3 linked regions of the Ovis aries genome follow. The protein of the gene in region 1 interacts with the protein of each later gene in a pairwise test. Links are inferred from orthologs where the notes say so. Each region holds a gene or a part of one and is shown in the gene's direction. Other genes may lie near its edges. The genes, in order: SPA17, MYL6B and AKAP7.

Region 1 (3,651 bases):
AATTCTATTTAAATATAAATTCTTCTGTCTACCTGACTACATAATATGCCTACCTTTTTTTAAGAAAAAACTTTTCCCATCTTTCATTTTTCCAAATTTCCTCACTATTCACCATTTATTTTTATACATTTATCTTATGTTTACTAATACATAATAAGTTTCTATAAGTATATAATAATACATTTCTATACTGATATTTAAGTAGTGGCATTTGTTCTCTACCACTCCCATTTTATTATAACTTCTATGAAAGCATCAAGTAGGTTTTTTAACTGCCTGCCTTTCTAAATATCCTCAAGGGTTCATCTGATGTTTAATTCATCATCATCACTGGTTATATCTGCAGCACTAGGCTCTGTACAATGTCAATAAAATTTTCAAGGGTCAGTAAAGGACCTATAATTTGAAAAAGAAAGCAGTTTATGTTACTAGTCTGCATTTACTTTAATGAACTTCAAAGTAAGTCTGGAATTATATTTTTGTTATTTAGAAACCAGCTTTGATCCAGCAGAATGGGGGGCTAAGGTTGATGACCGCTTCTATAACAACCATGCATTCAAGGTATGGTCCTGATAAGCTTTTGGATTTGGTTAATACTTCTCTCTGTCTCCAGTACAGAGATCGCCTAATCATGAATATTGTGAAAGGCATTACAAATACCTTATGAAGTCTTTTTAATTGTGCTATTCTTAATGGAAATAAATTCTTTTCTAAGGTATCTGAATCGTGTACCATACTGAGCTTAAATTTATAGATGATCAACAGGAGAAATGTACTTGAAAGAGATAGAATAATTACTTTCACTTATTGTGCAAATGTTATTATCACAGTGCTTATCAATAGCAGATGTGCAATAAACAGTGGTTGAACTAATGAATGCTATTTCATAAAATAAAACACATAAAACAATTATTCATTATTGTTGATACCTTACAAAAGACTGAATAGAATTAAAGATGGTATAGAGCCTTCTCTATTAAGCCAATCTATTCAGAGTCTGAACCCATCTTCTCAGTAGCATTCTCAGAACCAGTCTTTCTCAACCAAGGCTCCTCGAAATAATTAAGCCCTAAGCCTAAGGCATCCATTGCATGTCAGGCATCAATGTCTCTCCTTTGTATCTAGAATGATTATGTTTATGTACCATCCTTGGGAAAACTGAGAAAATAATCACTTAAAGCATTCTATGTTTTATGACTCCAATGAGAAACACTGGTTGAGAAAGGCCATGTGTAATCTAGCGTCTTTGGCACCAACTTGGAACTTGGTGGAAATTCAATCTCAAGCTCTACCCCAGGTCTACCAAATCAGAAGTTAAATTTTAACAAGATCCACAAAGTAACTTGTAGGTACGCCAGAATCTGGATGTAGCCTGAGAAGCACTACTTTAGACAACTACGATAATACTTTAGCCATGAAGCATCAGCAGGTACTAGAATTAGAAAACAAAGGTCAAATTTTGATGATATTACAGAGTAGATTTGGGGGATTTTCTGGGCAAATCCCACTGAGACTTATTCTATGAGTTCAAAAGTGAAGTTCCATCCATTTGTGCCTGCCAGACATAGAGGTGTTCTTTTTATTTCCATCTAACTAGATTCTCTGTGTTCCTTTTTTATTGAAAACAAAGGAATAATGTTGAAAATTTTTTAATCTTAAGTCACATAGCAATTTTAGATTAATTTTTCTTCTCTTTTGAATCCTAAAGGCTTTATTTGATTAGCTTATAAGTCCTTAAATTTATGTTTTATGAATTAAAGAAGCTCTCCCCATAGGTTGTGAATTAACAATGCTGCTCTTCTGGAGGAAGATTTCAGTAACCATGTCAAGATAGAACTGGTTTCCTTTTTTTCTATTTAAATCCTTCCCCACAGCAAAACTTACTTTTTTGACTTAGTTTTTACTTTGCAAACTTCATTAAAAAGTCAACTTGACTTCACATTATGGAACAAAATAGGATTTATTTCATTTCTATTTGAGGAACTATTGGCATCTCTTTTTTATTCTTTGTTTAAGGTTCATTACAGCATCATATGAAGTTTTAGTATAAGACAATGGCTTGTTTTTAATATAAAACAATATTACACACATTCCAAAAGCAGAAGGTCAAACTTTTTTTAACCAGTTCCTTGGTCTTATTATTTGTTTATGCTATTCCCTTGAGAGTTTTCTTTGTTTATCCAACCAGCTTTCTTTGTTTAAAAATATGTATTTAATTTCTAGTACTTATCAATAATTTAATCTTTAATCACCTTTAAAGAGTTTGATCCAAGACTTTATTGTTTTGGAAACATTACCTATTTGGACCTCTCCCCTCTCTCCAGGAGCAAGAATCGCCTGAAAAACATGAGCCTGGAAAAGAAAATTCTCAGACATCTGTGAAAGAGAAGACAGCCTTAGTAAGTTATATTTTCCATGTACTGTTGGGTTCCTACAAAAAAAAATGACTTCACTCAATTTAAAATTATACTTCAAATATGAATCCAGTCTCATCCATATTGCTAAAATAATGAGAAACCTGTATGCAGGTCAGGAAGCAACAGTTAGAACTGGACATGGAACAACAGACTGGTTCCAAATAGGAAAATGAGTACGTCAAGGCTATATATTGTCACCCTGCTTATTTAGCTTATATGCAGAGTACATCATGAGAAATGCTGGGCTGGATGAAGCACAAACTGGAATCAAGATTGCTGGGAGAAATATCAATAACCTCAGATATGCAGATGATACCACCCTTATGGCAGAAAGTGAAGAACTAAAAAGCCTCTTTCTTGATGAAAATGAAAGAGAAGAGTGAAAAAGTTGGCTTAAAGCTCAACATTCAGAAAACGAAGATCATGGCATCCAGTCCAATCACTTCATGGCAAATAGATGAGGAGACAGTGGAAACTGGCTGACTTTATTTTGGGGGGCTCCAAAATCACTGCAGATGGTGATTGCAGCCATGAAATTAAAAGACACTTGCACCTTGAAAGGAAAGTTATGACCAACCTAGACAACATATTAAAAAGCAGAGACGTTACTTTGTCAACAAAGATCCATCTAGTCAAGGCTGTGATTTTTCCAGTGGTCATGTTGAAGCTGAAACTCCAATACTTTGGCCACCTGATAAGAAGAGCTGACTCATCTGAAAAGACCCTGATGGTGGGAAAGATTGAGGGCAGGAGGAGAAGGGGACAATAGAGGATGAGATGGTTGGATGGCATCACTGACACAATGGACATGGGTTTGTGTGGACTCTGGGAGTTGGTAATGAACCGGGAGGCCTGGGGTGCTGCGATTTATGAGGTCGCAAAGAGTCAGACGTGACTGAACTGAACTGAACTGAAAATAATGATTTTGCTTTCTAGATAACTAGCAACAGTGACGTACTAACTGCTGGATCATTTTTAGCCCTGCCTCTTATAAAGAAAACTATTCTTCTGCTTATAAAGAAAATCTTATTTTCCAAGATTGTCAACAGATGGGAAAAATCTCCCCAAGGGGAAGAACAGACCAAAATCACAGTCTCAGCCTTGATCGTTCAGATTCCTCTTCCACTGGGGGAACTTTTCACTAATCGAGGCTGCCCCCACCACACAGTGGTAAAGGTTCAGACATAACAAAGGAAATTTGTTATGGGGAAATTATTCTCATGGGGAATTACTT
Region 2 (4,242 bases), on another chromosome or scaffold:
CCCCGCAGGGTGAGTTTTGGGGCGCTGGGGAGGGGCTCGTTCCTTTATTTAAGGCTTAGGGGTGTGTATGTGTAGGGGTGTGTGTGTGTATGTGTGTGAGGTACTCCTGGCTAGAGGAGAGATTCTGATTTTCCTAAAATGAGACGATTTGCAGTAATGAGGTTCAGATGGTTTTTTTTTTTTTTTTTGCGAGTGGGAGACCCAGCATCAACTCTCTAAACCCCTAAATGGAATCACTACTGTCTTCCTCAGAATGCTGTCTAAATCATCGCCTTTTTTACCCCCAGTACAAAAATAACCAGCAAACCCTCCCCTCTTTCATAGGCCCCTGACTTCCACCTTTCCCCAGTGCCCACAGCAAGGTTTGCAACCTGGCTGCCAAGTCAGGGTCTTATTATCCTTCTGGTTGAGGATTGAATACTCATGGAGCCCAGAGGACCTCACACATCTTTACGGATTAGAGATTTTAGAAATTAGGCCCTTTGCCTCTCAGAGCCTGCCTTTCCCCTCAGGTGCCACCATGGAGTCCCTACAGGTTCAGCAGGCACCCGTATTTGTCTGACTTGAATGACCATAGGCTTGTGGACAAGGGTTCCTTTCTTCGGAGTATGGGTGATGGGTATTGAACTCAATCCTTCCCTCCATCCCCACTCTTAAAACAACACTGGGGCTAGGAGACAATCGGTGGGAGTCACGCCTTTCTATTACTATTCTTTCTCCGTATCGTGCAGTGCACAGTTCCAGTTCTGGGCTGGGAGGGAGGGGGTTAGGGACTTGAGGTACCGAGTATTATAAGCTGTGGGGTGAACTACCATGCTCCTCATCCATAGGAAGAGGGAAGTGGAAGACCTGCTTGTTTTTTACCTCTTTCACTACTCCCAGACCCCCCTTTAATAAGGCCCCCATCCTTGCCTCCATCTTCAAGAGTCTAAAGCTGCTAGGAAAAAGGACTATTCCGAGTCAGGGGGTCGGAATTTTCTGGGTCCCCTTCTCTTCCTCACCCCTGTTTCAGTTTGCCCCTGGCAACCCTCTTATCTGCACCCTGAAAGTTAACTCCCCCCCCCCCCCCCCCCCCCCGTTCTGGGCCGTCTCTGACTTCCTCCCCCGGCCCCCAAAGGGCCATTGTTCTGGTCAGTATTTGGGGCGGGGTGGACAGAAGGGAGAAGACCTTGGGGCAGGAGTCCTGAACCACACAAGGCCAGGGGAGTGAGGGCAGCCGGCATACCTCTCCTCTATCTCACCCTCCCCCCAGCCAACTGGCTCCCTGCCCCTGCCCCCGCCCCTTGACATCCCAGACTCCCTGGCTATTTAAACAGAGATGGGTGCCCCCATCGGCACACTGTCCTTTGGCCACCCGACATCATGCCTCCCAAGAAGGATGTTCCCGTGAAGAAGCCAGTGGGGCCCCCTGCTGCCTCCAAGCCTGCTGCTAAGCCCGCAGTAGGGCCCCCTCCATCCAGGGTTGAGCTACCACCACCTGTCCCTCTAATCATTGAGAAACCTGCGAAACCCCAGGAGCCCCCCATCGATCTCTCCAAAGTGGTGGTAAGTCCCTGAAAAGTGAGAAGAGAATGGAGGAGTCGGTACAACAGTGGGATGTAGCCTAGGGGACTGCAGGTATCTAGAAGGTAGGGAATCAGTAAGCACTGGATGATGGTGGGGGGTTTTCTTAGTACCCCCCACCCCCCGCCGGAAGCATCTAAGCTTAATGACTCTATTGTCTTTGTTGCCCTCTGCCTCTAACCAATAACATGTGTGTGTATGTACATCACTTTCTCACTGTACTGCTGGAGGCAGAGCCTGTAAGATGGGGAACATCTGGGTTCTGAGGACAGTTTCAAGGTGAAAGGGGGGAGCTGCTGCCTGTGCCTGTCTGATTATTCAATATGAAAAGCCACAGCTCTGAACCCCAGGAGGGAAGGCTGAAGAGGACAGACTTGTTAGACAATCACAGCTGGGGGCCAGGGGTAAATTTAGCCTTTGTTCAGCCCCCAGTTATGTGAGGGATGCAGGGCTCAGGGCAGTAGAGGGAGGGGAACAGGTGGCATGGGATTAACCCTGTTCCCAGGAAACCCTCCCCCCAATAATTCCTCCTCTTGGGATTCTCCCAAGTTCTGGAGCTGGGAATGGGACTGAGATGGCTGGGTTCCCAGCCTGGTCCCTATGGGCCCCTCCCCTGAAGTGGCTGCCAGTTGGTCGGGAGGAGTGCTGGAGAGGGATTGAGTGAGTCCTGTCATCTCTCCTCACATGCTCTTCTCTTCCACAGATCGAGTTTAACAAGGACCAGCTGGAGGGTGAGGAGACGCCACTGATCCCACTGTCCATCCCAAGTCCCTAGTCAGATCCTCTTTCTATTCCCCTACCTCTATTCCCGACCTTGAAACCTCCCACACTAGTGCTCCTTGTGTTCTCTGTTCTGCCCAGCTCAAGCACATTGTTTCTGAATTTCCTTTCTGTTGGTGGTGATGGGAACCCCTTGTCAACACTGACCTCTCCTTACACTTCAGAGTTCAAGGAGGCCTTCGAGCTGTATGACCGAGTGGGGGATGGCAAGATCCAGTTCAGCCAGTGTGGGGACGTGATGAGGGCTCTGGGCCAGAACCCCACCAACGCCGAGGTGCTCAGGGTCATGGGATACCCCAAGAGTGATGGTGAGGGCACCTCTGGGACAATGCGGGTTTTCAGTTTGGTGGTGGAATGTTGGTAAGGTGATAAAGGATGCTGAGGTGGGTCCCAGGACTTTAAAAACTGTCAAACATAAGGGCAGAAAAATATCTGAATGTTGAACAGATGAAACCCTTCATGGTGGGGATGGGAGTTGGGTCCTAGGTGACACTGTAGTAACCTCTCCTTCACCTCTCTATCTCCAGAGCTGAAGTCCCGGCGTGTGGACTTTGAGACTTTCCTGCCCATGCTTCAGGCAGTCGCCAAGTTGCCAGACCGAGGCTCATACCAGGACTACCTGGAGGGGCTTCGGGTGTTTGACAAAGAGCAGAATGGCAAAGTCATGGGAGCTGAGCTCAGACATGTCCTCACCACCCTGGGTGAGACAGGGACCAGAACTCCTGGGGGTGTTGAGAGGAGGGGATGAACTAAGAAGGTTAGCCAAGTAAGCAGAGCCAGTGAGGGATTACTGTCCTATGGGTCATGGGCAGGAGACTGAGAAGGTCAGAGCCTTAGGGACAGGATCTGAAGGTCTTCCTCCTTCAGTCTAAAGTGAGTGGGCTGCAGCTGTCTCCCAAAGGGCAGAGGAAAGGGAACGAGGTGGGAAATCTGAGTTTCAGTCTTAGGAAGAGATGGCTGTACTCTATGATATGGTCTGTTTTTTAATCCTCTGGAATTCAGTTTCCTTGTCTGTCAAAGCTTTCACCACCTATAATTGAGGTGAAATGGAAAGCAAGATTCAGAGACACATTCAAGGCATGCCCACTACAAAGAGGGAATTCTCTTGGGGGACTGTTACTATGGGCAAGTCTCCAGGGTGGGAGAAGAGGAGGTGCCACCAGAAGAAAGAGGCATGGGTTGATAAGGGAGGGAAGGCAGGGGCTAAAACACTGTGTCTGGGCCCAGGAGAGAGGATGACTGAAGAGGAGGTGGAGTCTGTTTTGGCAGGACATGAGGACAGCAGTGGCTGCATCAACTATGAAGGTGAGGGGCCAGAGGAGCAGAAACGACTGGGGAAGAGGGAGGCAGGAGGCCCGAGGTATGTGGGTGGAGGCATCCTGAAGCCTGAATTATCTAAAGTCAGATGGGTTATCATCAGGCCAGCTTCTGAAGCCCCTCTTGCCTCTTCTCTCTGCAGCCTTCCTGAAGCACATCCTAAGCGTCTGAGCAATGCAGGTACGGCACTCTCACTGCGCCTTGGGAGGCAAGCCTCCTTCTTGTCCCTCTGCCTGCGTACAAAAGCAAGGAAGTGCATTTCCGTGTCTTGCTGCGCCGACAGCGGCAGGATTTGGCAACGTTCATCTTTTTCCACAGGTGCAGTGGCGTCGGACGCTGGGCTCCCACCAGGCAAAAGCACGTTCCTGCCACTAGGAGGCTATTGTTTCAAAATAAAGAGACGTTTCCTCCCTTAGCTTCCGACTCTTGCTTTCTTTAGAGGTGGGGGAGGGAAAGGGAGGGCTCCTCTTCCCACCCGCACCCACCAATGCGACCTCCTCTGACTTTCTCGCTGCTCGGAGGAGCAGATTCCTTGCGCCCCATTCCACCTTGTTCTGCAGTTTCTGTGCCCCAGGTAGGGCT
Region 3 (3,651 bases), on another chromosome or scaffold:
AATTGAACCCGGGTCTCCTGCATTGCAGGCAGATTCTTTACCGACTAAGCTATTAGGGAAGCCCATAAGCTATAAGGGACTGAGGATATTTCAGAGAATAAAAATCAGACAAAAATCCTTGTGTGGAGCTCCTATTCTAATGGAGAAAGACAGCGAAAGACAGACAGTGACATAAACATGAACTACATAATATGTTAGAAGATGGTAAGTGCTATGGAGAAACATAAGTATGTATAGGGGGAGAAAAAGAGAAAGGATTTGGGAGGACTGCTTGGGGAGGAGGGATGGCATGGTTAAGTGAAGCCCTATTGTTCAGTTGCTAAGTTGTATCTGACTCTTTACAACCCTATGGACTGCAGCCCACTAGGCCTCCCTGTCCCTCATTATCTCCTGGAGTTTGCACAAGTTCATGTCTGTTGAATCGGTGATACTATCCAACCATCTCATCCTCTGCTGCCCTCTTCTCCTTTTGCCTTCAATCCTTCCCAGCATCAGGGTCTTTTCCAGTGAATCATCTGTTTGTATCGGGTGGCCAAAGTATTGGAACTTCAGCTACAGCATTAGTCCTTCCATTGAGCATTCAGGGTTGATTTCTCTTAAGATTGACTGGTTTGATCTCCTTGCTATTCAAGGGGGTCTCAAGAATCTTCTCTTGCACCACAATTCAAAAGCATCAATTCTTAGGTATCTTCTTATATAAAAAGGTAATAAGTGAAGCCCTATTAAGAAAGTAATATTTGAGCAGAGAACTAAAGGAGATGAGGATGGATGATAAAGATATCTGGGGGAGGAGCGTTTCAGGAGGTGGGGACAGGTGGCACAGGGACTGTGAGGTGGGTTCCGCCTGGCTTGTTCACAGAAGAGCGAGGAGGCTGGGGAGGCTGCTGAGGGATGAAGGCGAGAGTGGTGGACACGAGGCCCATGAGGTCCAGAGACAGCAGATCAGGACCCTGCAGGCTGGTTGGGGCAGTTTGGCTCCTCTGAGAAAAATGGAGACCTTTTGGAGGATTTTGAGCAGAGGATGACATGATCTGGGTGTATGTTTTCATAGGATCAGTTTGACTTCCAAAGAGAAAACAGTGGGAAAACAGTTAGGAAGCTCTTGGGGTAATTGAGGTGAAAGAAACAGAAGTGCTTGGACAGAGGTGGCAGGGGAGTGGTAAGAACTGGGTGTGTTTTAAAGGTAGAGCCAACGCGATATGATTGGAAGTAGGGCTAAGGGAAAGAGGAGAATCAAGGATGACCCCAAGGTTTTCAGCCTGATCAAGTCGAACATGGTTGCTGTTAACTGAGGTGGGGAAGTCTGACTGAAGTGGTTAGGAAAGATCAGGAGCTCAGTTGAAACACATAGCTCAACAAAACCATGTTATATGTATATGTGTATATATATATATATGTATATATATATATTTTTTTTTTTTTTGGCTGAGGCATGTAGGACCTTAACTCCCCAACATGTTCAACAATAAAGAATTGAGTGAATAAATTATATCTCCATCTAATGGAATACTATGAAAATATAAAAATATTTTTCACATTTATTTATTACTTATCAATTTAACATATTAACTGAAAAAAGCTGATTATCAGATAATACTCATGGTACAACTCATGCATAGGAAAAATAAAATACATAAAATTTTAGTAGTAGTTTGGTGTGTTTTAATTTGTTTTCTATCTGCATTTAAAATTTTTTTGTGATTTTTGTGAATAAAAAGGGAAAGTACGTATTCTAATTATACTTTAGTAAGATTTATGTAAGTATAATTTGAAAATAACATACATGCATAGAGAAAGACTTGAAGAATATATATATCACAGGGTTAATGTATTTTATTAATATATAAATAACAGGGTCATAAATGATTTTTCATTTTCTTTTTTTTCTATATTCTTTATATTTTCTGAGTTTCAGAAATGACAGGTATTTCCAGGGCAATGTAAATGTATATATATACATTAAAAGGAAAAGTTTGCACATGGCCAGCTAGTAAACTTGCCCTGTAAAGTACTGTATCTTCATCTCAATGACTGTGTTTTGGGACTATGAGGCAGGCATAGGACCATGTATAGTAAGGGGAGAGGGAGACATTCTTTCCCATGTTTGGGGGAACTACCAAGTTACTAATTTTTTGGCAACAAGCCCTATTTCTGCTATGAAAGCACACAGAATCAGGAGGGGCAGGTGGAGAAAAACTTGGAAGACCTATTGACTCCAATTTGAATAGCCTTTAATTGTCTTTCAGATGAGTCTTACATAAGGAATTTAAAAATTACATCCATTTATTAAAATGGATGCAAATGTTACGTTCTACACACTATAAAATGTTAGGTTCCATGTCACTGAAAAATTCTCCCATTTCTCCATTGTCTTTGGAGATGATTTCTCTTTGCTGGATATCTCAAATTTCAACTTGATATACCTTATTATTTTTGCTCAACACTCTTCAATTTGAAAAAAAAAAATACAACTCATTCCAGGCAGAGAGACTTTAAAAACAACTTTACAGCAATTTTGTGGTATCCATTTTCAGATGCCAGCAGGCAGGACTGTATATCAAAATGTACTATCAGGTTCTAAGAAAGTGATAAAGATATGAATTGGTTGCCTAAATGAGATGATTGATTGATGTGATTTTGTCTTGTCATTTCAAGGGAGTGAAAAAAATAGACCCCAAATTGTACGAAAAATTTATCGGCCATAGATTTGGAGAAGAAGTGGTACATTGTATAGATCTTTGCTCCATGCTGAAGAAAAAGCAAAGTAATGGCTATTATCACTGTGAGTCTTCAATTGTAATTGGTGAGTGGCATTTAAAAATTATCTTTGGTTTTGATTTTTCAGCATCATTTTGTTTTGGCAATTGTTTATGTTGTATGTTTTTCTCAGTGACATATTTTCCTAAACATTATGTTTTGACAATAATACATTAAACATTTTGTGGAACATAGTTAGTATTTATATTTATCAGTCAAGATTTAAGTACCTATAGTTTTTATACTTCTGTGCTTTAAAATATAATCATCATGAAGTCTTGAAATGTTGATTCAACATTCATTTCAGTGTAATTTTATTTTGTGAATATGAAGAAAGCATTTTCATCAGTGAAGGCCTATATGATCACAGCCTTCTATGCCAGGTATTTTCATCTTTGCTGCTTTTAATTGGGAATAGACTATGCCAGGCCAGAAAGTTTCACTCTGAGAAGAAAAAGCATAGGTGGCCTGCAGAGACTGAAAACTTGTCTTTCAATTTCTTCCTTAAGAAAAATATGTTTTGAGGGGAGACCAAGATTCATGCATAAATGCTCTGTCATCTTATGAGGGAGATGGCTTGTGATGAGACAGATTCATACACGGTTATGTTTCCAAGTAGAGCATGTACACCAAAGGAAGAATGTGAAAAACCAGAACAGGGGTATTTCTCGTTTGCAATGTGGCTGTCTTTCAAAGGAACCTGATCTGTTGTGATTGAAATTTACTATTTCAAACTGGGCAATCTTCTTATAAAATTGTGAACTTCAAGACAACATCATTTGTATACTTTTTAAGTGATGTGAAAATGGAGAAGATAAAAACATGTATCTAAATATCTCAAGGATCTTCAACCAAGGTACTTTCTTGCCACCGTCAAAGTCAGCTTGAAGAAAA

What was found.
Region 2: the proteins of SPA17 (region 1) and MYL6B interact in binary tests that used the Homo sapiens proteins (3 or more experiments, as listed by UniProt). The two-hybrid records come from large-scale screens. The link is inferred for Ovis aries from reciprocal best matches to the Homo sapiens genes SPA17 and MYL6B.
Region 3: the proteins of SPA17 (region 1) and AKAP7 interact in a two-hybrid assay, tested with the Homo sapiens proteins (3 studies listed by BioGRID and IntAct). The two-hybrid records come from large-scale screens. The link is inferred for Ovis aries from reciprocal best matches to the Homo sapiens genes SPA17 and AKAP7.

Annotation. Positions count from the first base shown.
Region 1 is NC_056074.1:25,615,261-25,618,911, forward strand, and holds part of SPA17 (sperm surface protein Sp17), read left to right. Parts: intron 1-490; coding exon 491-561; intron 562-2,324; coding exon 2,325-2,399; intron 2,400-3,651. UniProt on the Homo sapiens protein: Sperm surface zona pellucida binding protein. Helps to bind spermatozoa to the zona pellucida with high affinity. Might function in binding zona pellucida and carbohydrates.
Region 2 is NC_056056.1:163,382,438-163,386,679, reverse strand, and holds MYL6B (myosin light chain 6B), read left to right. Parts: upstream 1-1,335; 5' UTR 1,336-1,362; coding exon 1,363-1,545; intron 1,546-2,266; coding exon 2,267-2,294; intron 2,295-2,507; coding exon 2,508-2,651; intron 2,652-2,870; coding exon 2,871-3,044; intron 3,045-3,570; coding exon 3,571-3,648; intron 3,649-3,802; coding exon 3,803-3,831; 3' UTR 3,832-3,840; intron 3,841-3,978; 3' UTR 3,979-4,075; downstream 4,076-4,242. UniProt on the Homo sapiens protein: Regulatory light chain of myosin. Does not bind calcium.
Region 3 is NC_056061.1:56,739,957-56,743,607, forward strand, and holds part of AKAP7 (A-kinase anchoring protein 7), read left to right. Parts: intron 1-2,655; coding exon 2,656-2,803; exon of another isoform or gene 2,804-3,651. UniProt on the Homo sapiens protein: Probably targets cAMP-dependent protein kinase (PKA) to the cellular membrane or cytoskeletal structures.